Linked DNA regions of Anolis sagrei. The protein of the gene in region 4 purifies or fractionates together with the protein of the main gene of each other region. This does not show direct contact. Links are inferred from orthologs where the notes say so. Each region holds a gene or a part of one and is shown on either strand. Other genes may lie near its edges.

Evidence for each region.
Region 1: the proteins of CLGN (region 4) and SLC9A6 purify together in Homo sapiens (co-immunoprecipitation; 3 studies listed by BioGRID and IntAct, with this or other methods). This does not show direct contact. The link is inferred for Anolis sagrei from reciprocal best matches to the Homo sapiens genes CLGN and SLC9A6.
Region 2: the proteins of CLGN (region 4) and SLC12A6 purify together in Homo sapiens (affinity purification with mass spectrometry; 3 studies listed by BioGRID and IntAct, with this or other methods). This does not show direct contact. The link is inferred for Anolis sagrei from reciprocal best matches to the Homo sapiens genes CLGN and SLC12A6.
Region 3: the proteins of CLGN (region 4) and SLC30A1 purify together in Homo sapiens (co-immunoprecipitation; 3 studies listed by BioGRID and IntAct, with this or other methods). This does not show direct contact. The link is inferred for Anolis sagrei from reciprocal best matches to the Homo sapiens genes CLGN and SLC30A1.

The regions. Positions count from the first base shown.
Region 1 is NC_090030.1:24,590,554-24,598,931, reverse strand, and holds the start of SLC9A6 (sodium/hydrogen exchanger 6), read right to left. Parts: upstream 3,188-8,378; 5' UTR 3,126-3,187; coding exon 2,825-3,125; intron 1-2,824. UniProt on the Homo sapiens protein: Endosomal Na(+), K(+)/H(+) antiporter. Mediates the electroneutral exchange of endosomal luminal H(+) for a cytosolic Na(+) or K(+).
Region 2 is NC_090026.1:13,087,298-13,094,706, forward strand, and holds the start of SLC12A6 (solute carrier family 12 member 6), read right to left. Parts: upstream 3,005-7,409; 5' UTR 2,729-3,004; intron 1-2,728.
Region 3 is NC_090021.1:32,140,338-32,147,971, reverse strand, and holds the start of SLC30A1 (proton-coupled zinc antiporter SLC30A1), read left to right. Parts: upstream 1-4,572; 5' UTR 4,573-4,729; coding exon 4,730-5,384; intron 5,385-7,634. UniProt on the Homo sapiens protein: Zinc ion:proton antiporter that could function at the plasma membrane mediating zinc efflux from cells against its electrochemical gradient protecting them from intracellular zinc accumulation and toxicity.
Region 4 is NC_090025.1:45,313,827-45,322,189, forward strand, and holds the start of CLGN (calmegin), read right to left. Parts: upstream 3,284-8,363; 5' UTR 3,060-3,283; intron 1-3,059. UniProt on the Homo sapiens protein: Functions during spermatogenesis as a chaperone for a range of client proteins that are important for sperm adhesion onto the egg zona pellucida and for subsequent penetration of the zona pellucida.

The DNA.
Region 1 (8,378 bases), on a different chromosome or scaffold from region 4:
GGTGGGTTCATAGGCAGAGATGCGGTCGGATTGGTAGCTTGGGCTGGAACCGTTTAGGGCTTTAAAGGCCAACACCAGCACTTTGAATTCAGCCCAGTAGCAGATCGGTAGCCAGTGGAGTTGGCGCAACAGGGGGGTTGTATGCTCCCTGCGCTCCACTCCTGTTAAAATCATGGCTGCCGAGCGCTGGACTAGTTGGAGCTTCCGAGCCGTCTTCAAAGGCAACCCCACGTAGAGAGCGTTGCAGTAGTCTAAACGGGATGTAACCAGAGCGTGGACTACTGTGGCCAAGTCAGACTTCCCAAGGTACGGGCGCAGCTATATCCTACCTTGCTCATGCCCAGCATTATTTTTTAAATTTGAATTTTACATTTGGCCCAGCCATAGGTTTTAAATGCTTGTTGTGTTGCTGTACTGCTTATATTTTATTTTACTTTTGTTTATGAGATGTATTTTAACTGTTTTGTACTGTTTGTTTGCTATTGTTTTATTATTGATGTGTTGTGGGCTCGGCCTCATGTAAGCCGCACCGAGTCCCTTGGGGAGATGGTAGCGGGCTATAAATAATAATAATAATAATAATTATTATTATTATTATTATTATTATTATTATTATCTATTTCTGAACACCACTATACCAAATATGCTGTGGGTACCAGATAATGGCTGGTAAAGGCATCCTTATTCTGTTCTATTCTATTCCTTCCTTCCTTCCTCTTCTCCGTTTTGTAGCATTGCTCCCTGAAGATGAAAGGAGTAAACCATCAAGACACTGCTGAGCAAAGATGTCCCCAAAGGTGATTAATAAATGGCACACAACGGTTTGGAATCCTATAGCAACCTTATGCTTCAATGTAAACAAGCTTTGTTTACAAAATCATCAAAGATATTACCCATCACATTAACCTTATCATGGGGTTTTCTGAACTTCAAGATAGAGGGGGCCATTCCGATCTCCAGTGAAAGGGAGTTCCAGAGTTGAGGGGCCACCACCGAGAAGGCCCTGTCCCTCGTCCCCACCAGACGCGATTGTGAGGCCGGTGGGCCCCTCCAGACGTCTTAGCAATTTTGATGGTTCATAGGGGAGAATACGTTCGGACAGGTAAACTGGGCCAGATTCGTTTAGGGCTTTATAGGTTAACACCAGCACTTTGAATAGTGCTCGGAAGCTAACTGGCAGCCAGTGGAGCTGGCGCAACAGAGGAGTAGTATGCTCCCTGTACCCCACTCTTGTTAGCAAACTGGCTGCCACACATTGGACTAATTGGAGCTTCCAGGCAGTCTTCAAAGGCAACCCCACGTAGAGAGCGTAGCAGTAATCTAAACGGGATGTAACCAAAGCTCACCCTTATCCAGAGAACACTGAACCCAGCTGATAACAGATCTGGACAAAGTATTATTATTAGTAGTAGTAGTAGTAATAGTAGTAGTAGTATAAGACTCCCAACCCTTTGTTGGTGCCCAGAGCTTTTGGAGAAGGCCTCTGCAAGGTGATGGGAGGATAGTTCACCCTTATGCAGAGAACACTCAACCGAGCTGATAACAGATCTGGACCAAGTAGTATTAGTAGTTCACCCTTATCCAGAGAACACTCAACCCAGCTGATGACAGATCTTATTATTAGTAGTATTAGTATTAGACTCCCAACCTGTTGTTGGTGCCCAGAGCTTTTGGAGAAGGCCTCTGCAAGGTGATGGGAGGGTAGTTCACCCTTATCCAGAGAACACTGAACCCAGCTGATAACAAATCTGGACCAAGTATTATTATTATTATTAGTAGTAGTAGTAGTAGTATAAGACTCCCAACCCCTAGGGAGGACTCAGACTGGGGGGGGGGGGTTGGGGGGACTGATTCAACAGGAAGGAAGTTGTAGTAATCTGGGAGTTGTAGTTCACCCTTGTCCAGAGAACACTCAACCAAGCTGATAACAGATCTGGACCAAGTATTATTATTAGTAGTATTAGTATTAGTATTAGACTCCCAAACCCTTGTTGGTGCCCAAAGCTTTTGGAGAAGGCCTCTGCAAGGTGATGGGAGTTGTAGTTCACCCTTGTCCAGAGAACACTGAACCCAGCTGATAACAGATCTGGACCAAGTAGTATTCGTATTAGTATAAGACTCCCAACCCCTTGTTGATGCCCAGAGCTTTTGGAGAAGGCGATGGGAGGGTAGTTCACCCTTATCCAGAGAACACTGAATCCAGCTGATAAGAGATCTGGACCAAGTATTCTTAGTATTAGTATTAGTATAAGACTCCCAACCCCTTGTGGGTGCCCAGAGCTTTTGGAGAAGGCCTCTGCAAGGTGATGGGAGGGTAGTTCACCCTTATCCAGAGAACACTCAACCCAGCTGATGACAGATCTTATTATTAGTGGTATTAGTATTAGTATTAGACTCCCAACCTGTTGTTGGTGCCCAGAGCTTTTGGAGAAGGCCTCTGCAAGGTGATGGGAGACTAGCTTACCAGTATCCAGAGAACACTGAACCCAGCTGATAATAGATCTGCACCAAGTATTAGTAGTAGTAGTAGTAGTAGTAGTATAAGACTCCCAACCCCTTGTTGGTGCCCAGAGCTTTTGGAGAAGGCCTCTGCAAGGTGATAGGAGTTGTAGTTCACCCTTATCCAGAGAACACTGAATCGAGCTGATGACAGATCTGGACCAAGTATTATTAGTATTAGTATTAGACTCCCAACCCCTTGTTGAGGTTTTGGAGAAGGCCTCTGCAAGGTGGTGGGAGGGTCCTTCTGGGTCTGGAGGGGTCCCTCCCCGACTGGAGCCTTCCCCACAGAGATACAGATACCCCCACGCCCCTTTGGACCCACCGTAGATCATGGCGAGGCCCGTCTCGTGGAGGAAGCGTGCGCGTCGGTGCTTGAAGAGCCAGATGGTGAGGATGGTGAGGGTGAGGAGGAGGATGAAGATGAGCAGGTTGGCGCTGTCCTGCCGGTGGCTGGCCTCGGCCGCCTTCTCCGACACGATCTCCTCCTCCAGGGCCACCGGCGGGCCCGAGCCGGACCCCCCGCAGACCCCCAAGAGCAGCAGCAGCTCCAGCAGGGGCAGCCCCGTCGCCAAAGGGGGAGCCCTCCGGGGGGCGGCAGGACCCTGGCCCCAAAGCAAGGCCATGGCTAGGGCTCGGGCTCTGGATACAGCGATGGCTGCTGCGCCTCCTCCTCCTCCTGGCTCCTCCTCTTCCTCCACTTCCTCCTCCTCCTCGAGGCTGGGGAGAAGGGAAGCAAGCTCTCCCAGGGTTGGAAGGGACCCCCAAAGGCCATCCAGCCCAACCCCCTTCTGCCAAGCACCATCCAAGCCCACCCAACAGATGGCCATCCAGCCTCACAGGCGTTAGATGAGATGGAGAGAAATAATAAGGCCACAGGATGCTAGAGTTAAAGGGGACCCCCAAAGGCCATCCAGCCCAACCCCCTTCTGCCAAGCACCATCCAAGCCCTCCCAACAGATGGCCATCCAGCCTCACAGGCATTAGATGAGATGGAGAGAAATAATAAGGCCACAGGATGCTAGAGTTAAAGGGGACCCCCAAAGGCCATCCAGCCCAACCCCCTTCTGCCTCTATGCAGGGAAAGCACCATCAAAGCACCCCTGACAGGTGGCCATCCAGCCTCACAGGCATTAGATTAGATGGAGAGAAGTAATAAGGCCACAGGATCCTAGAGTTAAAGGGGACCCCAAAGGCCATCCAGTCCAACCCCCTTCTGCCTCCATGCAGGGAAAGCACCATCAAAGCACCCCTGACAGGTGGCCATCCAGCCTCGCAGGCATTAGATGAGATGGAGAGAAATAATAAGGCCACAGGATGCTAGAGTTAAAGGGGACCCCCAAAGGCCACCCAGCCCAACCCCCTTCTGCCAAGCACCATCCAAGCCCACCCAACAGATGGCCATCCAGCCTCACAGGCATTAGATTAGATGGAGAGAAATAATAAGGCCACAGGATCCTAGGGTTAAAGGGGACTCCCAAAGGCCATCCAGCCCAACCCCCTTCTGCCTCCATGTAGGGAAAGCACCATCAAAGCATCCCCGACAGGTGGCCAGCCAGCATCACAAATATAAGATTAGATGGGGAATGATGACAGGTCTAGAGAATCCTAGACGGAGAGAAATAATAGTCCTATGGGATCCTAGACTTAAAATGGACCACAAAGGCCATCCAGTTCAAACCCCCCCCCCCCCCCCGCATCCATGCAGGGAAAACTCCGTCATAGCACCCCGACAAATGACCACCCAGCATCATAGACATTAGATTAGATGGAGAGAAGTAACAGGGCTAGAGAATCCGAGATGGAGAGAAATAATAGGGCTATAGGATGCTAGAGTTGAAAGAGTACCCCAAGTACCATCCCTTCTGCCTTCATGAAGGAAAAACACAATCGACGCACCCCTGACAGATGGCCATCCAGCCTCATAGACATTTAATTAGATGGAGAGAAATAATAGGGCTATAGGATCCTAGAGATGGGAGGGACCCTCAAAGGCCACCCAGTCTAGCCCCATTCTGACTTCATGCAGGAAAAGCACCAGTTTGGGGACTTACATTCCAAAACAAGAACAGCTTGATCAAAATGCTTGGCACCAGAAGTGTTTGGGATTCCTCTGGATGTTTAAATGTTTTACAATACTTGCATATACGGAACAAGCACCCCATTTTCGAAATGCTTGGCACCCAAAGTGTTTGGGATTGTGTTGGGTGTTTACATGTTTTGAAACCTTTTACATAGGTACACCGAATAGCACTTGTCCAGAATGTTTGGGAACAGATGCATTTTGGATTCCGGGTTGTTTATTGTTATTGTTATTAAGGCTTTGAAGGGTAGATGTTTACTAAAACACACACAGAGAGAAGAAGCAGTGCTGTTGGCCTGGAGACATATTCCAAAGTTCATGTTACGATCTTGGTTTTATGAGGCTGGATTTTGTAGAGTTTTCCTGAAACAGACTAAACAGTGCAATTTACCCAGCAGCTAAGGATTTGCATGAGCCTATTTTGACCCTTAAGACTGCAGCTTGAAACCTTTGAATTAAACCCTATTCATTGCAAAGGCCTTTGCAGTCTCCAGACCCAAAATACATCGAATATCAATTGAGTTTATTTCCCGAAATGGGGCTCTTTAAGGGATTTTCTGCTTCTGGTAAAAGCTGTCAGGACTATTGGACTATTTGGAAGTCACTTGCTCTCTCTGCTACTGGGTCGTTGAGAGTTTTCCGGGCTATCTGGCCATGTTCCAGAAGCATTCTCTCCTGACATACATTTCTCCCACATCTATGGCAGGCATCCTCAGAGATTGAGAGATCTGTTGGAAATTAGGCAAGTGGGATGTGTGTGTGTGTGTGTGTATGAATATCCAGGGTGGGAGAAAGAACTCTTGTCTGTTGGAGGCAGGTGTGAATGTTGCATACCTTGATTAGCATTGAATTGCCACCTTGATTGAATGGCCTTGCAGCATCAAAGCCTGACTGATTGCTGCTTGGGGGAACCCTTTGTTAGAAGGTGTTAGCTGGCCCTGATTGTTTCCTGTCTGGAATTCCCTGCTTTTTTAATGTTGCTCTTTATTTACTGTCCTGGTTCCCCCAGGCAGGAAGCCACTAGGCTTTGAAGCTGCAAGGCTATACAATGCTAACCGAGTTGGCAAATTGCAACATTTGCACTGGCCTCAAACAGACAAGAGTTCTTTCTCCCAACATGGACATTCCCCAGGTATATAAACCTCACTTGCCTAGTTTCCAACTGACCTCATATCCTCTGAGGATGCCTGCCATAGATGTGGGTGAAATGTCAGGAGACCTGATAGCTATGTATAAGTATGTGAGAGGAAGTCATAGGGATGGGGGAGCAAGCTTGTTTTCTGCTTCCGTGGAGACTAGGATGCGGAACAATGGCTTCAAACTGCAATAAAAGAGATTCCATCTGAACATTAGGAAGAACTTCCTAACTGTGAGAGCTGTTCAGCAGTGGAACTCTCTGCCCCAGAGTGTGGTAGAGGCTCCTACTTTTGAGACTTTTAAACAGAGGCTGGATGGCCATCTGTAGGGTGTGTTTTGAATACGATTTTCCTGCTTCTTGGCCGAATGGGGTTGAACTGGATGGCCCATGAGGTCTCTTCGCACTCTATGATTCTAATGATTCTGGAACATGGCCATACAGCCCGGAAAACTCACAGCAACCCAGTCATTGCAGCCGTGAAAGCCTTCAACAACATTCTGCCACTGTTGCTTTGAAAGTAAGGTTTGCTCTTAATTTGATTTATAGATGTTAATCTAAGTTTCAGTAACATTCCTTTGGTTTGCCATTGAACCCTCTGCACAGAAAGCAGTTCGAAACCCACTGCAAGAAATGGTAGGTAGCTTTGTTTAGAATGAGAGGAGTGTGACAAGGCATAGATTATGGCACAATGCAGGGCTTGTTTTTCCACCACAGAGTAATATTTTCCTCCTTCAGAAGAAAGGAAGAAATGCATGGGTTTTTGGGGTTTTTTTTTTTGTTTAGTTAGTTTGTTTTTTGCCAAGAGGACAAATGCCTTCAAAGCAATTATCTGGGTGCATCTGAACTGTGGAATTTATGCAGTTTGACACCACTTTAGCCATCAATGCTAAGAAAGCTGGAGAGCTGCAGTTTTACAAGATCTTTCACTTTGGTCCTTCACCAAACTACAGATCCCAGGTTTCCATAAAGGCAGTTAAAGAGGTGTCAAACGACATTCTTTCTACAGTGTAGAATTATTATTATTATTATTATTACTGACAGAAAAACATAGTATGGCACAGCAAATTAGATATATATGCTGGATTTCGTATCACTAAATCACAAGTCGAACACTTCCCAAGTGTCTAGGACTGTGTGATGTATTATTGTTGTTGTTGTCAGTTCTGTCTTCTTTCCATTGGTAAAAGGCACCCGACTTGATCAAGGCTACATTTTGCAATTTATCTCCATTGCAGCGCTTTAGTAAAATCGATCCAACACCCATTTTTCAGTATTTCCCCATTTTTATTATGAGTTTCAATTCTTATACTTGTTTTCAATTAACATGATGATCAATCATCCCCTGCCTTGGAAACACTGTCTACATTCCATGTTTATAATTGTGGGTAGCTTTGATGTCGAATCCGCCCCAAACCCCTGCTTTCCAGCTGATCTGACCAGCTGCAGGGAGTTCCGCAGTTCCTGGATGCCAGCTCTGATGAAATGTGCCCCAGCAGCAGCCTCAACCAAGGATTCTCTGCAACCTTGAGCTTTCTCCTTTTGCTTTTCTCCCCAGCCCAAACATTGTAACAAAACCCCTAATAAAGACTAATTGAATTGTAACGTTCACCTCTCCAAAGTGATACACTGTGTCTATTTCCTGACTCACAAGTATCAAATGCATGAACTTATCCTTTTTTGGGCCGTGGGCAGCGGCGGGCCCGCCTGGGATGCCTTCCAGGCATCGCAGGGAGGCTGAATCTGCGTTTCTTTAAACCGCGGATACGGAAACCACTCGGGCCACCATATCCGCGAGTTAACCGACCAACTCCATTTTGGTGCCATATTTTTCCTAGCTTAATTCTAACATTTTCTAACATTTTATATTTATACATTAATATTAATAATTAATTAATAATATTATTCTTAAATTTTAATTATTACATTTGGCTCTGCCATAGGTTTTTAACATCGTTGTGTTACTGCTATTGTTTATTGTTTTTTTTTTGTTATGAGTTTTTGTTTTATTGTCTGTATTAATTGTTGTTATTGCTTTTATCATTGATGCAGTGTGGTCTCAGCCTCATGTAAGCCGCACCAAGTCCCTCGGGAGATGGTTGCGGAGTATAAATAAAGTTTATTATTATTATTATTACTATTATTATTAGTATATTGTATTATTATATTCTATTATATTATAATATTATTAATATTATATGTTTCTATTATATATTATATTATTAGCATAGTACAATATTAGGATTATATATTATATTGTACAATACCATTAGAATGCAATATTATTAGTAATATTACAATATTATTAATAATATTAATAATATTATTAGTAATATTACAATATTAATAATATTAGTAATAATAATAATAATAATAATAATAATATTTTTTGTCGTGTCAGGAGCATCCTGTTGTGAGAGAATTGGCCGTCTGCAGGGACGTTGCCCAGGGGACGCCCGGATGATTTTGATGTTTTATCACCCTTGTTGGAGGCTTCTCTCATGTCCCCGCATGAGGAGCTGGAGCTGATAGAGGGAGCTCATCCGCCTCTCCCCGGATTCGAACCTGTGACCTGTTGGTCTTCAGTCCTGCTGGCACAGGGATTTAACCTACTGCGCCACCGGGGGCTCCAATATTAATAATATTAATATTGTAATTTAC
Region 2 (7,409 bases), on a different chromosome or scaffold from region 4:
TTCTCCTTCCATCCTTCTCTCTTTCCTTCCTCTTTCCTTCCATCACCAGGCAGCCAGTCCTCCTAGCAGGGAGTGCTAGAATGTGGAAGCCCAAGTTTGAAAGTTTGCCCATGTCTTGTGCAGATATACCCTTAGATACATGCAGTCATGCCGGCCACATGACCTTGGAGGTGTCTACAGACAACGCCTTGCTCTTCGGCTTAGAAATGGAGATGAGCACCACACCCCAGAGTTGGACATGACTGGACTTAATGTCAGGGGAAAACCTTTACCTTTACCGGAATCATAGTCCAATTCTCAAACCACTAGACAATACTAATGTGTGCTCTCTCTCTCTCTCTCTATATATATATATACACTCTGTGTGTGCGTGTGTGTGTATATATATATATATATATATATAGTCTCAAACAAACACGAAACTGTAGACATGAGTCATTTCTACACAGGGTTCAACAAGGTTCCCATACTTTGGAGCCCATTTGTTATCTCATGGGGCACTTGGATAGGTTCAAGATGAAAGAATTCACCAAAAATATGACCAAACGGGTTACACTATTGCTTTTAAAGCACCCAAAATGTCAGTCAGTAAGGATGTCTTTTTTAAAATAGCAAAATGCACAGAAATCAGGAAGCTAAAAGAAAAAGAAGGATTTGCTTTAGCAAATTTAAACAGCAAGCACATAAAAGGAGGCACATGTACAAGACACTGGCAAGCAAGATGATGATGTAAGAGTGAGAATGAGCACCAAAATTGGTGTATCTATGAAAGGGTTTTTTTTTAAATTCATTTGACTTATATCCTACTTTCCACCCAAATGGGGCACAAAGTTACCAAATTTTCCTTCAGTCTCCTTTCTGTCTTCCTCATTTCACATATAACCTACAATTTCCTCCCAAATGGGATTCAAAGTGTCAAATTTTCCTTCGAACTAGAATCTAGCATTACAGTAGCATAAAATTTGAGCATCCAAAGAAAAGAGACAAACAAAATAACCAAGGGTATGAAAACACAGGAGTATTCAAAAAAAAATCTCTAAAATATTCCAAAATTGTAGTTAAGACAATGACAGAAACTGATATTTCTCAAATACAGTTTCTTTCACAACATTAAAAATGCTGGGTATTAAACCATGAAGAGGCCACCAGTTTGTAACGGTTTGTAAAGGAGCCACCACTTTGTAAGGACTTACTAAATTGATAACACAACTAATGGCTTGTAATACTAAATTGGTCTTTCTTCAATGTGTAGCGTGGCTTAACTTGGACGTATTTGTAACAGAGACTTGACTTTAGAAGAAACTATAACAAGTTTATTGAAGTATAGAAGAAGCTTGATAGTTTCAATGTTTCTTAGCTCTTAGAAGCACATTTCTTCACAGGTTACAATTAATACATTTCATAAAACAACTCTTAAGAGAACTCTTCCTTTCACTAAACAGGTTTTAAACTTATTCTCCTTCAAAATGTGTTTCTTTCTTTAATAGATTACTTCAGGTACAAGCTTATCCTTTCCTTATGTTGTTTCTGTTGCAGTATAGATTCTTATTAGGGTTCTCTTACAGTCAGGAATTTCTTCCTCGTGTTTAGATGGAATCTCCTCTCCTGTAGTTTGAAGCCATTGTTTCGCGTCCTAGTCTCCAAGGAAGCAGAAAACAAGCTTGCTCCCTCCTCCCTGTGGCTTCCTCTCACATATTTATACATAGCTATCATATCTCAGCCTTCTCTTCTTCAGGATAAACATGCCCAGCTCCTTAAGCCACTCCTCATAGGGCTTGTTCTCCAGACCCTTGATCATTTTAGTCGCTCTCCTCTGGACACATTCCAGCTTGTCAATATCTCTCTTGAATTGCGGTGCCCAGAATTGGACACAATATTCCAGGTGCGGTCTAATTATTTATTTATTTATTTACTTACTTTGCTTGTATACCGCAGTTTCTCAGCCCGTAGGCGACTCAACGCGGTTCACAACAAGAGCAAAAGCCATCCAACAACATACAATATTAAAACCATTAACAGTATAAAATACAAACTAATGACATCTCAATAACAACACATTAACGTCTCGTAACTAAAATTAATGTATTTTTATTGATATCTAGTTTTATTTTGAAATTGACTGGTAGCTGCTGCATTTCCAACCCTCGGCTTATATTCGAGTCAATACATTTTCCCGAATATAAGCCTCGTCTTATATTCGGGTCAGCTTATACTCGAGTATATACGGTATGTTAATCTCATAAGCAAACATTACATTTGTACTTATATAGATTATTGAAAATAATAATAATTTGCTATCCCCTTCATGACTCGAGGCGGGGTACAACACTGTCAAAAAATACATATAAAACCCAATTATCACTGAGGAGGCATGCACTCTGCACATTCTCAGGAGTTATAATGCATAGATTAAAATACATAGGATACAACACAAAATAAAAAAATACTAGGTAAAGTTAGAATTATTAGTTTTAAAATGAACTGGGGGGTGGAAATGGTCCCCAGAAGCCAAAACAAAACCATAAAGAGATGAACCATGGAGAGGACAGGGAAAAGCAAAGGTAGAGAGAGGGGAACAGTACAGGTGTATCATGCAGAAAGGGGGGAAGGGGGCGCAGTGCGCATGCGCGGGGCTCTCCGTTCGCTCCCTTCTTTGCCCCCGCCCACCCCTGAAGGCAAGCCCCTGGGAGAGAAAAGTCCGTTAAGGCTGGAGCCGTTAAGGGTTTACCTGAGCCGCGCGCGCAGCTTGGCTTTCCCTCTGCCCAGGCGTTCTAAATAGGAGCGCCTCGCGCGCGCACGCTTTGCTTGCTTGCTTGCTTGCTTCCCTCGCGCCTCCGTGTGCGCACGCGCGGGCCAGCCGCTGCTCTCGGGTTGCTTGCTGCGGCTCAGAACTCTCTCTTTTTTTTTCTTCTTTCCCCTGGCTTTCGCTTGTCCTCATCTTCTCCCTCTTGCGCATGCGCACAAGCAAGGAGCCGCTACTGTTGCTTGGATGCTTCTCCCTTCATTTTCCCTTTGAAAACAAAGGGGAGGGGGGCGGCCAAAAGAGGGTCCACGGACGCGCTAGGGATGCTGGGAATTGTAGTTCTTACTCTCTGAGGGGGCAATTGAGGATACTGTATTAATCCTGGCCAAGGAAATGCTGTAAATGAAGAGTGGTGTTGCCATAAACAGACTTATTTATTTATTTATTTATTTTATTTGGTACGCTTGTATACCGCCAATATCTCAGCCTATGCGGCGACTCATTGCGGTTTACAACATGTTAAAATATACAATTCACTTTAAGCATATAGATTAAAATTAAGAATACATACAAAACATACATAGTATTGGGCCACCAATACAGATCGGATCTCATCGTTAAAATCGTAGTCCAATTCGTTATCCTTGATTGCTAGTCCATGGTCAAACAACATCACATCAAAAATCAATTGAAGACTTGCACAAACATCCAAGTTTTTAGTTTTTTCCGAAATGCCATTAGCGAGGTGGCTGATCTTAGTTCAGTAGGGAGGGCATTCCAAAGCCGGGGGGCCACCACAGAAAAGGCCCTATCTCTCGTTCCCACAAGCCGCACCTGTGAAGCAGGTGGGATAGAGAGAAGGGCTTCTCCTGAAGATCTTAGGGTCCTGGTGGGCTGATAGGCCGAGATACGTTCGGATAGGTATGTAGGGCCAGAACCGTTTAGGGCTTTAAAGGTCAAAACCAGCACTTTGAATTGGGCTCGGTAGCTGATCGGCAGCCAGTGGAGCTGGTACAGCAGAGGAGTTGTATGCTCCCTGCGCCCAGCCCCTGTTAATACCATGGCTGCCGCCCGTTGGACTAATTGGAGCTTCCGGGCCGTCTTCAAAGGCAACCCCACGTAGAGAGCGTTGCAGTAATCAAGACGGGATGTAACCAGAGCGTGGACTACCGTGGCCAAGTCAGACTTCCCAAGGTACGGTCGCAGTTGGCGCACGAGTCTTAACTGTGCGAATGCTCCCCTGGTCACCGCCGAAACCTGGGGCTCCAGGCTCAGCGATGAGTCCAGGATCACACCCAAACTGCGAACCTGTGTCTTCAGGGGGAGTGCGACCCCGTCTAACACAGGCTGTAACCCTATACCCTGTTCGGCCTTGCGACTGACCAGGAGCACCTCTGTCTTGTCTGGATTCAATTTCAATTTGTTCGCCCCCATCCAGACCGTCACAGCGGCCAAGCACCGGTTCAGGACTTCGACAGCCTCCTTAGTAGCAGGTGGAAAGGAGTGACAGAGTTGGACATCATCTGCGTACAGATGACACCGCACCCCGAAACTCCGGATGATCTCGCCCAGCGGCTTCATGTAGATGTTAAACAACATGGGGGACAGGATTGAACCCTGAGGAACCCCACAAGACAAAGGTTGTGGGGTAGAGCAGGAGTCCCCTGTTAATGAGAAAACACAAACAGTTATTCAAAGCACCTACAAAAAATAGATGGCCTTTATCTAACCTATAGGCTTGGGCAATCCATGGTTCTAAAGTACTTACAAAACTAAAGTTCTGGTGGTGAAAATTTCAGAACTCTAACAAAACTCTCAAAATTTCATAATAAATGGCAGTTCCTAATTGGTTCTGTCATTAAAATCACCAATAATGAAATAATAATTAAATTTTGAAAGTTTTGTTAGAGTTCTGAAATTTTTCACCACCAGAACTTTAGTTTTGTAAGTACTTTAGAACCATTTAGAACCATGGATTGCCCAAGCCTACAACCTATAAAAGTAAATAAAAATGTTTGGGTTGTTGTAGGTTTTGCTACATGTTCTAGAGGCATTTTCTCCTGACGTTCCGCCTGCATCTGTGGCAAGCATCCTCAGAGGTAGTGAGTTCTGTTGGAAGTAGGAAAATGGGTTTATATATCTGTGGAAAGACCAGGGTGGGACAAAGGACTCTTGTCTGCTGGAGCTAGGTGTGAATGTTTCAACTGACCACCTTGATTAGCATTTAATGGATTGGAAGTGCCTGGGGGAATCTTTCTTTGAGAGGTGATTTGATATATATATCTGTGGAATGACCAGGGTGGGACAAAGGACTCTTGTCTGCTGGAGCTAGGTGTGAATGTTTCAACTGACCACCTTGATTAGCATTTAATGGCTTGGAAGTGCCTGGGGGAATCTTTCTTTGAGAGGTGATTTGATATATATATCTGTGGAATGACCAGGGTGGGACAAAGGACTCTTGTCTGCTGGAGCTAGGTGTGAATGTTTCAACTGACCACCTTGATTAGCATTTAATGGATTGGAAGTGCCTGGGGGAATCTTTCTTTGAGAGGTGATTTGATATATATATCTGTGGAATGACCAGGGTGGGACAAAGGACTCTTGTCTGCTGGAGCTAGGTGTGAATGTTTCAACTGACCACCTTGATTAGCATTTAATGGATTGGAAGTGCCTGGGGGAATCTTTCTTTGAGAGGTGATTTGATATATATATCTGTGGAATGACCAGGGTGGGACAAAGGACTCTTGTCTGCTGGAGCTAGGTGTGAATGTTTCAACTGACCACCTTGATTAGCATTTAATGGATTGGAAGTGCCTGGGGGAATCTTTCTTTGAGAGGTGATTTGATATATATATCTGTGGAATGACCAGGGTGGGACAAAGGACTCTTGTCTGCTGGAGCTAGGTGTGAATGTTTCAACTGACCACCTTGATTAGCATTTAATGGCTTGGAAGTGCCTGGGGGAATCTTTCTTTGAGAGGTGATTTGATATATATATATCTGTGGAATGACCAGGGTGGGACAAAGGACTCTTGTCTGCTGGAGCTAGGTGTGAATGTTTCAACTGACCACCTTGATTAGCATTTAATGGCTTGGAAGTGCCTGGGGGAATCTTTCTTTGAGAGGTGATTTGATATATATATCTGTGGAATGACCAGGGTGGGACAAAGAACTCTTGTCTGCTGGAGCTAGGTGTGACTGTTTCAACTGACCACCAAGAGTCCTTTGTCCCACCCTGGTCATTCCACAGATATATATATATATATATATATATATATATATATATATATATATATATCTGTGGAATGACCAGGGTGGGACAAAGGACTCTTGTCTGCTGGAGCTAGGTGTGAATGTTTCAACTGACCACCTTGATTTGAGATGCCTGATGGTTTCCTCTCTGTTGTTTTGCTGTTGTGATTTTTGAGTTTTTTAATACTGGTAGCCAGATTTTGTTCCTTTTCATGGTTTCTTCCTTTCTGTTGAAATTGTCCACAATCTTGTGGGTTTCAATGGCTTCTCTGCGTAGCCTGACATAGAAATCCACAAGCATGTGGGTAATTTCAACAGAAAGGAAGAAACCATGAAAAGGAACAAAATCTGGCTACCCGTATTAAAAAAGGGAGGACTCCTGGGAGTTGGAGTCCAATAATAGGTAGAGAAGGAAGAAAAGGGAGAAAGAGGAAGGGAAAGAAAAGGGAAGGAAGGGAAGAGGAAGAGAAGGAAGGGAGGAGAAAATGAAAGAAAATAAGGGAAGAAAGGAAGGAAGAAGAGAAAGAAAGGAGGAGAGAAAGAGCGAGGGAAGGTTGGCCACAGCAACACATAGCAGGTATAGCTAGTACAGATATAAAAACTGTTTCAATTGTCAAAATATACACAAGGTTGTTGTAGGTTTTTCGGGCTGTATGGCCATGTTCTAGAAGCATTCTCTCCTGACGTTTCATCTGCATCTATTCCAGGCATCCTCCGAGGTTGTGAAGTCACAGAGGACATCAGTTATGCCACATTCCTCCCTACTCTAAGTGATCTGTCCCAACATCCCCATATTTTGAACCAAATTTGGTTAAAATACAAACAAATACAGGTGACATGCAGTCTTCTAGCCTACTCAGAAATGAGTAGAAATGAAAGAAACTAGGGCCAGAAATGAAAGAAACTAGGTGTGCCTCCTACATCCCATGGGCAATAATAATAATAATAATAATAATAATAATAATAATAATAATAATACGTTATTTATACCCTGCTACCATCTCCCAAGGGACTCGGTGCGGCTTACATGAGGCTGAGCCCACAACACATCAATAACAAAGCAATAACAACAAATAATACAAAGCAATAAAATAAAACTCATAACAAAAAAGCAATAAACATTAACAATAACACAACGACAGTTAAAACCTATGGCTGGGCCAGATGCAATAATTAAAATTTAAAGAGAATGCCGAGCATTAACAGATGAATATGAACTAGGATAGAGTTTTCAGAGAGGGATGGGGCATGCAGACATTTCTAGATCCATAGTAAAGTGCATTAGAGGACATAATGCTGGGAGTTTCCTTATTCTGGGAAGGCACACTGGAACAACCACGTTTTCAGGCTCTTCCTAAAGACTGCCAGAGTTGGGGCATGCCTGATGTCCTTGGGGAGTGAGTTCCAGAGTCGA
Region 3 (7,634 bases), on a different chromosome or scaffold from region 4:
ATATAAGCTTATTAGTATATTTTAATGGGCCTGCTTTTGGCTAATGAAATAGGATTGTTGTTGTGTGCTTTCAATTCATTTCAGACTTAGGTTGACCCTGAGTGAGGACCGGGTAAATGACCTTGGAGGGCCGTATCTGGCCCCCAGGCCTTAGTTTGAGGACCCCTGATCTACACTGTAGAATTAATGCAGCCATATTAACAGCATTTGGAGGCACATTTAAACATGGAGTGAAGAATTTGTAACTTTCAGATGTTGTGGGACTGCAGTTCCTGTTATCTCTCACCAAGGGCTATGCTGTCTAGGGCTTGGCTGCATCTAAACCGTAGAATGAATACTGTTTGACACTACTTTAACTGCTATGGCTCAGACCTATGGAATCGTTGGGACTTTTACAAGGTCTTCAACCTTCTGTACCAAGGGACTGTACCAAGTCTCGGAAAGTTGAATCTATGGATACAGAATCCATAGAGGTCTGGTTGTACTTTTATTCTGATTTTTGTATTGTATACTCTTAATATGTCAATAGTTGCCTTGGGAGAGCTATGATTGGAAGAAAGGCAGGTTAAAATACTACTACTACTACTACTACTAGTAAGGATCATTTTTTTGAGGGGGGAGGTTTCAAGCCATGGATGGCTTAGTCGTAAGGCTGAACAGGGTATAGGGTTACAGCCTGTGTTGGATGGGGTCGCACTCCCCCTGAAGACGCAGGTTCGCAGTTTGGGTGTGATCCTGGACTCATCGCTGAGCCTGGAACCTCAGGTTTCGGCGGTGACCAGGGGAGCATTCGCACAGTTAAAACTCGTGCGCCAACTGCACCCGTACCTTGGGAAGTCTGACTTGGCCACGGTAGTCCACGCTCTAGTTACATCCCGTCTAGACTACTGCAACGCTCTCTACGTGGGGTTGCCTTTGAAGACGGCTCGGAAGCTCCAGCTAGTCCAACGCTCGGCAGCCATGATACTAACTGGAGCGGAGCGCAGGGAGCATACAACTCCTCTGCTGCACCAGCTCCACTGGCTGCCGATTTGCTACCGGGCTCAATTCAAAGTGCTAGCGTTGGCCTATAAAGCCCTAAACGGTTCTGGCCCAAGCTACCTATCCAAACGTATCTCTGCCTATCAGCCCGCCAGGCCCCTAAGATCTTCTGGGGAGGCCCTGCTCTCTATCCCGCCTGCTTCACAGGTGCAGCTGGCGGGGACGAGAGACAGGGCCTTTTCTGTGGTGGCCCCCCGGCTGTGGAACGCCCTTCCTATGGAGGTAAGATCAGCTCTCTCGCTAATGGTGTTCCGAAGAAGATTAAAAACTTGGATGTTTGAACGGGCATTTGGTTAAACAGTGCAATGAATGTGATGATTACAGGAATGGAAATTTGGACGACGGATTGGATCACGACTCTAGTTATGAGATGCATTGTGTTGTCTATTGTTGTGTCAATATTGTATATTATGCTTTTATGGTTTTAAATTGTATATCGTTGATTGATTCTTATCCTTGTTGTAAACCACGTTGAGTCATCTGTTGGGCTGAGAAACTGCGGTATACAAGTAAAGTAAAGTAAATAAATAAATAAATAAATAAATCTGTGGATACAGAATCCACAAATGACTGCAATTTTATTCTATTTTTATTACCTGCCTAGAGAAACCTGTAATTGGATAAAGGTGGAATAGATGAGGATGCCTGCCATAGATGTGAGTGAAACGTCAGGAGAGAATGCTTCTGGAACATGGACATTCAGCCCAGAAAACTCACAGCAACCCAGTAACAGTAGTATTGGTTGTAAAATATGCAAAATATGTAATATATTAATATTTTATATATGTACTAGCTGCCCCCTGCCACATGTAGCTGTGCCCCAGTCTGTGTATATGTTTATTGATATAGGTATTGTGGATTGTGTTTTTATGCTTTTAAACTGTATACTGTTGTTTGTTATAAGTTGTTGTAAACCGCGTTGAGTCGCCGGCTAGGCTGAGAAACGGCGGTATACAAGTATAGCAAATAAATAAATAAATGTGTTTTGTTTGTGTGTTGTTGTTGTTCATTCGTTCAGTCGTCTCCGACTCTTCGTGACCTCATGGACCAGCCCACGCCAGAGCTCACTGTCGGCCGTCACCACCCCCAGCTCCTTCAAGGTCAGTCCGGTCACTTCAAGGATGCCATCCATCCATCTTGCCCTTGGTCGGCCCCTCTTCCTTTTGCCTTCCACTTTCCCCAGCATAATTGTCTTCTCTAGACTTTCCTGTCTCCTCATGATGTGGCCAAAGTACTTCAACTTTGTCTCTAATATCCTTCCCTCCAATGAACAGCTGGGCTTTATTTCCTGGAGGATGGACTGGTTGGATTTGATTGTGTATGTGTGTATATATTTGTCTATATGTGTTTGCATATATATGACTGTGTGTTTTTTGTGTATGTGTGTTTTGTGTATGTATATAGTTGTGTATATGTGTATATATGTGTGTGTGTGTGTGGTTTTGCACATGCATTGTAATGCATTTTTGTTCTTTGGCTTTTTAAGTCTTTTCTGTTGTGTTTTTCCATGTTTTTATGAGTGGTGGTCACTCGTTGGCCTGATACGTGTATTGTGTCCAAATTTGGTGTCAATTCATCCAGTGTTTTTTGAGTTCTGTTAATCCCACAAACTAACATTACATTTTTATTTATATAGATGTTGGTTAACATGCCTTGAGAAACTTTTGATGAGGATATAAATGAAAATAACATTAGCCACCGCGACAGGGAGTGCTTCTGTGCTTTTTTGCCTCAAGTGAGGGAAGTCCCAGCGCGGGCCCGGAAGTACCTTTGGCTGCTCTGCTTGGGCGAGGCCTGGAGGTGTCTACACGCGCCTTACTTCCGCTGTTTTGGGCGCGGCAGCTGCTGTGGCGGCGAAAGGGAAGCGGGTGCCGGGCGGAAAGGAGGCGCGCTGAGGAGGGCCGTGTGGAAAAACGAGCAGGGTCTCCTCTCCTTCTTTCCACACAACCACCTTTTGCGCCAGTTCCCTCAGAGGCGGGGCCGAGAAAGGCGCGGACTCTGATTGGACGCCATAAAGTCGTGACAGCTCATTGGCCACGCCCTCGAAAGCTGCGAGGGGAGGGCCGTGTGGAAAAACGGGGGCGGGATTGAAGGAGCCAAGCCTCCCTCCCTCCCGGCGCCTTCAATCCTTCGATCTGATTGGGTGCCGTGAAGTCGTGACAGCTCATTAGCCACGCCCCCAAAGGCCGCGAGGGGAGGGCCGTGTGGAAAAGCGAGGCCGGGTCCTCGCGCCTCTCTCTTAGAGCCCCGCCTCCTTCAAATCCACACAAACCCGAAAGGAGGCGGGGCTGAGACGAGAGCGGACTCTGATTGGACAATTTTACATCGTGACAGCACCTCCCGACACCCATCTGTCAGGGGCGTTTTGAATGCGATTTTCCAGCTTCTGGACTGGATGGCCCACGAGGTCTCTTCCAACACTTCAGCTCCCCTTGGAGCCCCTGGAGGTGCAGTGGGTTAAAGCCATGTGCCGGCAGGACTGAAGACCGACAGGTCGCAGGTTCGAATCCGGGGAGAGGTGGATGAGCTCCCTCTATCAACTCCATCTCCTCATGCGGGGACGTGAGAGAAGCCTCCCACAAGGATGATAAAACATCAAATCATCCGGGCGTCCCCTGGGCAACGTCCTTGCAGACGGCCAATTCTCTCACACCAGAAGCGACTTGCAGTTTCTCCTGACACGACAAAAAAAAGAGCTCCCCCTCCCTTCCTAAAACAAAAAAAAACCCAGTTGGAGGCGTGGCTAAGAAGAGGCCGGGCTCGGATTGGACGCCGATACGTGGTGACACCTCCCCCCGCCCTCTAGGATTCTACAGCTCCACCCTCCCTTCCTAAAAATTAAAAAAGGCGGAGGCGTGGCTAAGAAGAGGCTGGGCTCGGATTGGACGTTCATACACGGTGACAGTTCCCCCCTCCCTTCCTGAAGCAAAAAATTCCAGTCGGAGGCGTGGCTTAGAAGAGGCCGGGCTCGGATTGGTCGCCCATACACGGTGACAGCTTCCCCCTCCCCTCCTAAAACAAAAAAATCCAGTCGGAGGCGTGGCTTAGAAGAGGCCCGGCTCGGATTGGTCGCCCATACACGGTGACAGCTCCCCCTCCCTCTGTAATTCTTCAGCTCCCCTTTCCCTTCCTGAAACAAAAAATCCAATCGGAGGCGTGGCTAAGGGGAAGCTGGACTCGGATTGGTCGCCCCTACGCGATGACAGCTCCCCCTCCCTCTATGAGTCTACAGTTCCCCCTTTCCTTTTAAAAAAAAAAAAACCCACTCGGAGGCGTGGCTTAGAAGAGGAAGGGCTCGGATTGGACGCCCACACGCGGTGACAGTTCCCCCCGCCCTTTCTCTCCCCGTAGCCACGCCTCCCAGCGAGCCGGGGAGCCAATGGGAACGCGGCCTGCGAGGCGTGCCGGATTGGCTGGCGGGGGTCCTTCCCCGACGCGGCCAATGGCGCCTCGGGGGCGTGGCCGGTCGCCGTGGCGGCCGCCAATGGCGCGCCTCGAAGTGGGCGGGGCGCGTTCTGGGGTTCCGTGTGGAAAAGAGTGTGCGAGGGAGAGGAGGAGGAGGGGGTTCGGGTGCAAAGTTTAGTTTCAAACCGTCTGCAAAGGAGGAGAAGAAAAAGAAGGAGAGGGAGACGCGGCGGGGGAAGAGAGCGGAGAAGGAAGAAGGGGAAGAAGGAAGCAAGCAGCAGCCATGGGCCCTGAGGGAACGGGCCTGGACCCTGCCCGGCGCCACGGAGCCCTTCCCGCTCCCCGCCGCCGGAGGAGATGCCGCCGGGCCCGGCTGCTGTGCATGCTGGCGCTGACCTTCGTCTTCTTCCTGGTGGAAGTGGCCGTGAGCCGGCTGACCTCCTCGCTGGCCATGCTCTCGGACTCCTTCCACATGCTCTCCGACGTGATGGCGCTGGTGGTGGCGCTGGTGGCGGTGCGCTTCGCCCAGCTCACCCGCGCCACCTCCAAGAACACCTTCGGCTGGGTGCGCGCCGAGGTCATGGGCGCCCTCGTCAACGCCGTCTTCCTCACCGCCCTCTGCTTCACCATCCTCCTCGAGGCCGTCGAGCGCTTCACCGAGCCCCACGAGATCCAGCAGCCCCTCGTCGTCATCGGCGTCGGCGCCGCAGGACTCCTCGTCAACCTCCTCGGCCTCTGCCTCTTCCACCAGCACGGAGGGGGCGGAGGGGACGACGGGCACGGGCACTCGCACCGAGGGAGAGGCTCCGCCGGGCGACACCACCGGGGGAAGGCCGGAGAGAGAGGAGCCGCCGCCGGGATGGGACTCTCCAGGGAGGAGACCAACACCCTCGTGGACAGCTTCAGCGGCTCCAATGGGGTCGGCATGGAGAAAATAGGTGAGGGAGGACGGAGAGCTGCCCTCAGGCCAAGCATGGGCCAACTTGGGCCCAACTCCCCCCATTCCTAACAGCCTCAGGCCCCTTCCTTTTCCCCCTCAGCCGCTTCAGGCCGCTTCTTTTTTCCCCTCAGCCAGGGGGAAAAAGAAGCGGTCTGAAGCGGCTGAGGGGGAAAAGAAAGGGGCCTGAGGCTGTTAGGAATGGGGGGAGTTGGGCCATGCTGTGCCCTGCCATCCCCAATGCCCTCTCCTGGCAACCCATTGTCTTGGTTACTGTTATCTCCTCATCTTTCCCTAGCACACAGCCAGTGTGGTCAGCAAGGAGAAGCTGGGAAGGATCTCCAGACCTCACATAAGAGAGATCAAGGGCTTCAGGTTGGGTTAGGCCAAGGATAAGGTATTTGGACAGGTGTTTTCTTTCATTAGGTGCTGGGAAGAGTGGGCTTCAGGTCTGGATGGGGCATCTTCAAGGCTCAGGCATGGGGAAACTTTGGCTCTTCCTCCAGGTATTTTGGACTTCGACTTCCACCGTTCCTGGTCAAGACAATGGTAGGAGTTGAAGTCCAAAACACTCAAAGTAGGAGAAGCACCTTTTCCTAACCTAAAATAAGAGAGATCAAGGGTTTCAGGTTGAGTCAAGCCAGGTATTTTGACAGGTGTTTTGTTTCATTAGGTGCTGGGAAGAGTGGACTTCAGCTTCAGGTCTGGATGGGGCATCTTCAAGGCTCTGCTCTGAGTTTATGCCAGGTGTGGGGAAATTTCAGCCCTCTCTCCGGGTGTTTTGGTCTTCAACTCCCACCATTCCTGGACAAGACAATGGTGGGAGTTGGAAGTCCAAAACACCCAGAGGGCCAAAGTAGGAGAAGCACCTTTTCCTAACTTAAAATGAGAGAGATCAAGGGTTTCAGGTTGGGTTAGGCGAGCGATAAGGTATTTTGAAAGGTGTTTTGTTTCTTTAGGTGCTGGGATGAATGGACTTCAGCTTCAGGTCTGGATGGGGCATCTTCAAGGCTCAGGCCTGAGGTTGCGCCAAGCTTGGGGAAACTTCTCCCCTCCAGTAGGCTGTTAGAAATTGTGGGGAAACTTCAGCCCTCCCTCCGGGTGTATTGGACTTCAACTCACACCATTCCTGGACAAGACAATGGTGGGAGTTGAAGTCCAACACACCAGGGGAAGCACCTTTTCAAATTTAAAATAAGAGAGATCAAGGGTTTCAGATTGGGTTAAGGCAGGGATAAGGTATTTTGATGGGTGTTTTGTTTCATTAGGTGCTGGGAAGAGTGAGTTTTAGCTCTGGATGGGGCATCTTCAAGGCTCAGGCATGGGGAAACTTCAGCCCTCCCTCCGGGTGTTTTGGACTTCAACTCCCACCATTCCTGGTCAAGACAGTGGTGGGAGTTGAAGTCCAACACACTTGGAGAGCTGAAGTAGGAGAAGCACCTTTTCCTAACCTAAAATAAGATAGATATCAGGGTTTCAAGTTGGGTTAAGCCAAGGATAAGGTATTTTGACAGGTGTTTTATTTCATTAGGTGCTGGGAAGAGTGGACTTGAGCTTTGGATGGGGCATCTGCAAGGCTCAGGCATGGGGAAACTTCGGCCCTCCCTCCGGGTGTATTGGACTTCAACTTCCACCATTCCTGGCCAAGACAATGGTGGGAGTTGAAGTCCAAAACACCTGGAGGGCCAAAGTAGGAGAAGCACCTTTTCCAAACCTAAAATAAGAGAGAGTTTGGGGTTTCAAGTTCCGTTAAGCCAGGGATAAGATATTTTGAGAGGTGTTTTGTTTCATTAGGTGCTGGGAAGAGTGGACTTCAGCTTCAGGTCTGGATGGGGCATCTTCAAGGCTCAGACATGGGGAAATGTAGGCCCTCCCTCCAGGTGTTTTGGACTTCAACTCTGACCTAAGCTTACATCAGGCGTAGGGAAACTTCGGCCTTCCCTCCGTGTGTATTGGACTTCAACTTCTACCATTCCTGGTCAAGACAATGGTGGGAGTTGAAGTCCAAAACACCTGGAGGGCCAAAGTAGGAGAAGCACCTTTTCCAAACCTAAAATAAGAGAGAAATTGGGGTTTCAAGTTCCGTTAAGCCAGGGATAAGATATTTTGAGAGGTGTTTTGTTTCATTAGGTGCTGGGAAGAGTGGACTTCAGCTTCAGGTCTGGATGGGGCATCTTCAAGGCTCAGGCATGGGGAAATGTAAGCCCTCCCTCCAGGTGTTTTGGACTTCAACTCTGACCTAAGCTTACAT
Region 4 (8,363 bases):
CACTGCACCCAGTGTGCCAATCACCACTGGGACCACCTTTACCGGCTTGTGCCAGTCTTTGCAGTTATTGTTGTTGTTGTTGTTATTATTATTATTATTATTATTATTATTATTGAGGAATCCTTTGTTAGGAGGCACTAACTGGCCCCGATTCATTCTTGTCTTACTCAAAAAGCAGGGGAATACCAGAGGAGAATCAATCTCCCACCCTGGACATTCCACAGATACATAAACCTCACTTGCCTAGTTTCCAACAGACCTAACAACCTCTGAGGGTGCCTGCCATAGTTGTGGGCAAAGCAGCAGAAGAGAATGCTTCTAGAACATGGCCAGAAAACTCACAGCAACCCATTACAAATATGATTTGAAAATATTTATTGAACAATTTCAAAAAGCAAACCTTGATTTTTCTGTTGAAATTGTCTACATGCTTGTAGATTTCAGTGGTTTCTCTCTATAGTCTGAGGACGCCTGAATACGAGGGACGCCATTGCATATAAACATGAAATTTTGGTATACTCAAGAGCCCCGTAATTAAACCCCAGTGAATATCAAGGGCACATTATATCCTATTCAATTCTCTTACCAGACTGTATGTAGTAAGACTAGAAATTGGATTAAAGGGTGCATCTATAAGAGCCATGAGCCAACTTGGGCCCTCCAGGTGTTTTGGACTCCAACTCTCAGAATTCCTAATAGCCTCAGGCCCCTTCCTTTTCACCCTCTGCCGCTTAAGTGGAAAAATATTGGACACTCAATTAATTTAGAGGATTGGGAGAAAACATGGAACAAGAAAATGAAATATACTTATGCATCTAATTTAAAAGAAAACTGGCTAAAAATCACACCTCAGAAACTGGCAAAATGCTACCCAGAAATCAACGATAAATGCTGGAAGTGCGAAGAACAAACTGCCTCTTTTTATCATATGTGGTGGACATGTAAAACTTCCAAAACACATTGGAAAAATATCCACGAAAAAATAGAAAAGATACTGGATATAAAAATGGAATTAAAACCGGAATATTTTCTTCTGGGAATAATTGACTTCGAAATAGAGCTAAATAAAGATTAAATTTTTCAACTACCTGGTGACGGCGACCAGAATAAATTATGCAAGAGTATGGAGAATGAAAGAGATTCCATCTCAAGAGCAATGGTTAATAAATATTTTTAGATATTATGAGTATGGATAAATTAACCCAATGGATGAGCATAAAGCAGAATTTGAAAATTTCCAAAACAGACTGGATACCAATAAAGAACTATATAATGCAAGAAAACCTGAAATGGTAAATAGATCATATAAGATAATTTCAAGCATCAAATGCTCTCAGGATGAACCATAAGAAGGAGCTTGCCAAACTACCGTGATTGACTATCAAAAAAAGGAAAGAAAAGGAAGATACACCCGACGTGAAGAGGATTGGAAGTCAGACTGTATATTAACCCTAACCCCCCTAATCCCTTCCCTATCCTTCCATCCTTCCCACCCCCCCCCCCAAAAAACAGTCCCCTATCTAAATTTATTTATTTTTATTTCATATACTTCTACCCCGCCCTTCTCAACCCCCGAGGGGGGACTCAGGGCGGCTTACAAAATGGCACAATTTGATGCCCTCACAATAATACAATAAACGTATAAAAACAGCAGTTAAACGGTTAAACAATTAAAACAACAATATATATCACAGTCAATAGCCAATCTCATGCATGGCGTTCGCCAACTCAGAGTCCATACTTCGTTCCACATTGTCTATTCCTATCCGTCGTCGCAGTCCTTTATTTATCTGCCAGATTGCCCAAACGCCTGGTCCCACATCCATGTTTTTAATTTCTTTCTAAGAGCCGCTGCAAACTAGCCTCCTGTGGGAGCAAACTGTGCCAGCACGTCCCTGACGTCATGAGACTGTGCCTCTCTCTCCGCCCCTTTCTCCGCCTCTTTCTCCGTGCCAGAGTGGTTTTTCCTTTGCTAGGGCAGCATTGCCAGCATACTCTCGTTGTTGAATTCTGCCAACGAGAGTACGCTGGCAATGCTGCCCTAGCAAAGGAAAAACCACTCTGGCACGGAGAAAGAGGCGGAGAAAGGGGCGGGGCGAGAGGCGGAGTCTCATGACGTCAGGGACGTGCTGGCACGGTTTGCTCCCGCAGGAGGCTAGTTTGCGACGGGTCTAAAGGAAAGGAGGGATGTCGCTGATCTAATTTCCCCGGGAAGTGAATTCCATAGGTGAGGGGCCACCACTGAGAAGGCCCTGCTCCTCGTCCCCACCAATCTCACTTGTGACAGAGGCGGGGCCGAGAGCAGGGCCTCCCCAGAGGATCTCAAACTCCGAGGTGGGAGGTAGAGGGAGATGCGTTCGGACAGATACGCTGGGCCAGAACCGTATAGGGTTTTGTAGGTCAAAACCAGCACTTTGAATTGTGCTCGGAACTGGATCGGCAGCCAGTGGAGCTGACACAACAGGGGGGTGGTATGCTCCCTGTATGACGCTCCGGTGAGCAATCTGGCTGCCTCCCGCTGGACTAATTGAAGTTAATTGAAGTTAAATCTCTTCTTACCTTTTTCTATTCTCCTACTTTTCTATACCAAACAATTGTTCCCCCTGTTATTATTATATCTGAAAAACTTCAATAATATATATATATAGGAATTGTGAGAGTTGGAGTCCAAAACACCTGGAGGGCCCAAGTTGGCCCATGCCTGTTATAGATGCACCCTTCGGTTACAAACTAAGCAAGTACAAACCTAGGCCTGCCTTAAGCTTGAGGCACAGTCAATGCCCAAATCCTATTTTACGCTTTTGAGGAGGGGAAAAAGGTTTGTCGCCCGTGAGACGGAGACAAAACAACTATGAGCCGTCCTTGGGGAGACCTCGCATGCATCCGAAGGGCAAGGCGCGAGGCATTCAAATGAATGAGGGGGGAGAGGCCCGCCAACGGAACCATGGCGACCGCTTCCAGGCCCTCCTCCTCTCCTTCCTTCTCCCTCACGACCGCTCCCTTTTCGTTCCCCTTCCTCGCCCCGAGCAGGAGGCGCCCTGGGCCTCGCCTCGTCTCACCTCTCTCTCCCTCCTCACTGACAGGCCGCGACCGTTACCGCCCGTCAATCACGCTCCCCCCTCCGCACGCAGTCCTCTCGGCAGCGCATCCCCCGGCGCGCATGCGTCGCTGGTCCAAGCGCAGGTGCTTCGGCACGCGCCGCGCCGTCGCAACCAATCGCGATAGGGCGCTGAGAGGCTGAGCGAACCAATCGCAGGGAAGAGATTTTTTTTTCTTCTTCTTCTTAATTCCCTTCGGCTCACTTAACCCAACCCCGGATCGGTCCGCCGCTCGGTGACAAGGCGGCACGTGCCGGCTCGTCCAATCGGATCCGCCGTGGGGCGTGGCTTCATGAGCATCTCGCCTAATAAGAGCTCTGACTCAAGAGAGCGCGCCCAGTGGAGAGTCGACCAGGCACGAGGAGACTTCGGGCGTCTAATTGTTTTGGACTTGAAACTCCCACAATTCTTAATTGATTCAAATCCTTGATGATATTTATTTATACCCCCCACTTTTTCTCTCCACAAGGAGACTCAAAGCAGCTATTTGTTTTTGTGTCTACATTGAAGGAAGAAGTCCCACTTTCTTCTGCTTCCCTCAGGCCTCACCCAGGAATCCTGTGTTCAATTCTGGGCCCCACAATATCATGGCAATTTTTTTTTCGTGTTAGGAGTGAAAAATACATAAACAAATAACCATCCCACCAAAAACACACAGGAGTGACGAGAAACTGCAAATTCCTTCTGGTGTGAGAGAATTGACTGTCTGCAAGGATGTTGCCCAGAGGACGCCCGGATGTTTTGATGCATTCCAGAGCCAGGGGGCCACCACCAAAAAGGCCCTCTCCTCCATTCCCACCAGCTGCACTTGTGAGGGTGGTGGGACTGTGAAGAGAGCCTCCCCGGAGGACCTTAAGGTCTGATAGGTTAATAGGGGAAAACATAAATTCAATACTGGATTACATGACAGTGTAGATCTAGCCTAAGAGTCACCAAGCTTCACTGTGCAGTAGTGAACCTGAGTGTTTCTAGTTTGTTTGTGTGTGTGTGTGTGTGTCAGGAGCAAGGATGATGCCCAGGGGACACCCAGATGTTTTGATGTATTACCATCCTTGTGGGAGGCTTCTCTCATGTCCCTGCATGGGGAGCTGCAGCTGACAGAAAGAGCTCATCCGCGTTCTCCCTGGATTTGAACCTGTCGGTCCATTTCACAGCACAATTCAAAGTGCTGGTCCTGGCCTCTAAAGCTATATACGTCTCCGGCCCAGCTTACTTGTCCGAATGTATCTCTCCCTACATTCCACCTCGTAGTTTAAGATCCACTGGGGAGGCCCTGCTCTCGGTCCCATCAGCCTCACAAACACATCTGGTGGGGACGAGGGACAGGGCCTTCTCGGTGGTGACCCCCCACCTGTGGAATTCACTCCCCAGTGAGATTAGATCAGCGTCCTCCCTCCTTTCCTTTAGGAAAAAACTGAAATCGTGGTTTGGGAACCAGGCTTTTGACTAGCAGGCACAATGGCACTTTGGACATTGAACTGGACCATATGATTGTTATGCTAATGGAAACAGCTATATGACTGTATCATTCATGTTATTGTTTTTAATTTGTTATGTATTTATGGTTTTATATTGTTATTGTGATATTGCGGCATCAAATTGTTGTCACTGTGAGCCAATTTGACAATTTGAACTGAAAGGAGGAAACTATGAAAAGGAATAATATCTGTATATAAAAAACTCAGTAAAGAAAGAACAGCACTCAAAAGTGGGGAGTTCCAGACAAGAAACAATCAGGGACAGCTAATCACCTCTCAACAAAGGATTGTGCCGGGCAGGAAGTGGCCAAGCCTTGAAACTGCAAGACTATACCATGCTAATCAAGGTGACCTATGGCAGCATTTACACTTGCATTCACACACTCCACAGATATATAAACCTTACTTGTCTAGTTTCCAACAGACCTTACAACCTCTGAGGATGCCTACCATAGATGTGGGTGAAATGCCAGGAGATAATGCTTCTGGAACATAGCCATGCAGCCCGGAAAACTCAGAGCAAACCAATATTAACAATGTTTAATACTTTAAAATATTTGTATATTGTATATTTTAAGTTGTATTGTAATCTTTCAATTGTGAGCCACTTTGAGTCTTCGTATGGAGAGAGAAGGTGGGATATAAATAAGCATCGTAATAATACTGTTTGAATATTCATAGTTAAAAATATATAAAAATATCAACTGTTTGCAATGCTGTTTGCTTTAATTCTTGTTATTGGCCATCAAGTTGACTTTGACTTATGGCAACTTTGTGAATGAAAGACCTCCAATATCTCTGGTTGTCTATTGCCTTGCTTGATGTAGTTGTATCTTGCAGGTTTCATCCCAAATAGGGAATATGTGTGTGTGTGTGTGCGGGCGTGCCACACGAACCCAACAGAATGGAATTTTCCCTAATGCACCATGATGCTCCAAGAAACACTCTTTTTTTTTCAAAATAGTTTATCTTTCCATTCAAAGGGCTAACAGTCCCAACCCCATCCATATGGCACTCCAGTGTAACCATGGAGCAAGTTGCTATGGAACATCACCTGCTTGTTGCTGTGTACAGAGAAAAGTTCCCTATGCAGTTTCTTGGTGGCAGGAGCCTTGCTCTCCACATCAATATCCCTTAAGAGTTACTTCAGTCTAAGTTTTCAGGGCATCTTCCCACCCTCCTCAATGCCTTAAATTAATGACAGTTTAAGTTGCTGTACTAAATTATACATTAGGTGACAGATCTTATTAACCCCATTGTTCATTCTTTTTGAGCTCCTTCCTCAGAAACACATTCTTTCACTACCTATCTCATCCAGGATTTTTATCAATTTTATCCTAGTACATTTGGCCCGCCCACTGTGTTCAGTTTCTCTATCATGTAATTTTGAAACTGTTTATTTTGTTTTTTAATGTATTTATTTTGATGGTATTTTTGCTTCTTTGTATTTTATTTTGCTGTACTGTAATTTTGGGCTTGGCCTCATGTTAGCTGCCCCGAGTCCCCTTTGGGGAGATGGTGGCAGGGTACAAATAAATAAATATTATTATTATTATTATTATTATTATTATTATCTGTTGGCAATATTTTAGTTTTGGGTTCCCTCATTATAATTTTTTAAAGTCAGCTTTCAGACATCCTGTTGTGAATTTCATCCTGACCAAAAGTAAGAGGAAAGGATGATAGAATGTTAAATCCTACAGTGAAATGTGTGTTACTTTTCACATCTCTCTGCAACACAACTTGGAATGTAACTGAGAAAGTAGCATGCACATATTAGGCTAACAGTGGGCAACTTCTAACAGATGTGGGGATGGGGGGGGGGTGTTTTGTTCATACAGCACTAGGCAACCCATAACCAGAATAAAACAAAGATATAAGCCTGATCATTCAACAGTTAACTTACAGATCAGATGAGAGTGCTGCTCACTCATTCTGGGGAGGAGGCAAAAGAGTCCCTTGAATAAGCTTGGGTGGGAGTGCAGCTGAAAGCTCTAGAGGGGTTTTGTCAACTCAGTTCAAACCATGTTCAGTAGGGCATGGCTGCAAGAGCTATCAGGCTTCCCATCCCATCCCAAACTTGGCACACAGAACTTCCATGACCAACAGAAAATACTGTGTTTTCTGATGGTCTTTGGTGACCCCTCTGACAACCCTTTGCAACCCCTCCTTAGGAATCCTGACTCCCAGGTTGAGAAACGCTGCCCTAAACCGAGCTGAATATTTTTTTGGCTGTTTAATACTGCAATCCAGTGTATGTTTACTAAGAATAAGCTGCGTTTGACATATTGGAACTTGATTCTGTTGTAAATATGCTTAGGTTTTCATTGTTATGCTGCAGTCCTTTTGTATGTATGTATTATAAGCCCGAATGAACATAATTGCACTTGGTTATGAATAACAATTGTTCTCCAAATATCACTTCTCTCACTAGGAAGTCATGATCTTAGCCCCAACCAGAGTAAGGCCCATTGAATCAATGAGGGCGTGATAATAGTTCTAAAATAGATAGGACTATTTGATTTATAGTTTTGTAATGCAGTGACCAGAATGGTAGATTTTAAAAAATGAAACCTGGGCCCAGATCCACATTATCACCATGCCCATTACCACGTGGAGATACACGAGCACTTCAGGTAGCAACAGTGGCAGTCCCTGGTCATATGTTGCTACATATTTTCTGTCATCTTTTCAAAGGGCCCTCTACACAGCCATATAACCCAGAATATCAAGGCAGACAATCCACAATATCTGCTTTGGACTGGAATATCTGAGTCCACACTGCCATGTAATCCAGTTCAAAGCAGATAATGTGGGATTTTATTCAGTTGTGTGGAAGGGGGCTGTAGTCAGTTTCCCAATTTGAGGAGATACTTTCTCAGCTGTCAGTCCAGATGGCTTTGGTATTTGTCATGATAGCGGGAGCATTAACTTGTTTTTTGCATCAGAGAATGACCTACTCTTTTTCCACTGGAGAAGAACGAAGCCACCTGTATTTTCCCTTTACTTGGCTAAACATTGGTTTAAGAATAACATTTCAATTTGCTAGAACAATACCAGGTGAAATGATTAAATACTCCTCAGCTCAGCACTGCTGTTCCAATTCATTTTGAAGCATACTCCTCCACAAAAAGGAAATTAGGGGTCCATGTAACATCCCATATAGATTACTGCAACACACTCTACATGGGGCTGCCTTTGAAGACTATTCAGAAGCTTTAACTGGTCCAACAGGCAGCAGCCAGGTTGCTCACCGGAGCGATGGACATTGAGCACACAACTCCCCTGCTGCACCAGCTCCACTGGTTAACAGTCTGCTTCCGAGCACAATTCAAAGTGCTCACTTTAGCCTTCAAAGGCCTATACGGTTCTAGCCCAGCTTACCTGTCCAAATATATCCTCCCCTATGAACCACCTGAGAAATTAAGATAATCTGGGGAGACCCTGCTCTTGGTCCTGCTTTCTTCGCAAGCACACTGATGGGGATGAGAGACAGGACCTTCTCAGTGGTGGCCCCTCAGCTGTGGAACTCTCTCCCTAGTGACATCACATCAGCCCCCTCCCCCCTCACCTTCAGAAGGCAAGTAAAAACCTGGCTCTGGGACCAGGCTTTCGGATAATAGTGTAGTGCATAGGCATGGGCAATCCATGGTTCTAAAGTACTTACAAAACTAAAGTTCTGGTGGTGAACACTAGGGGGCGCTACTGCTTTGCTTCTACAGTGTTGCTAAAGTTCTGGTGGTGAAAATTTCAGAATTCTAAAAAAACCTTCAAAAATTTGTTATAA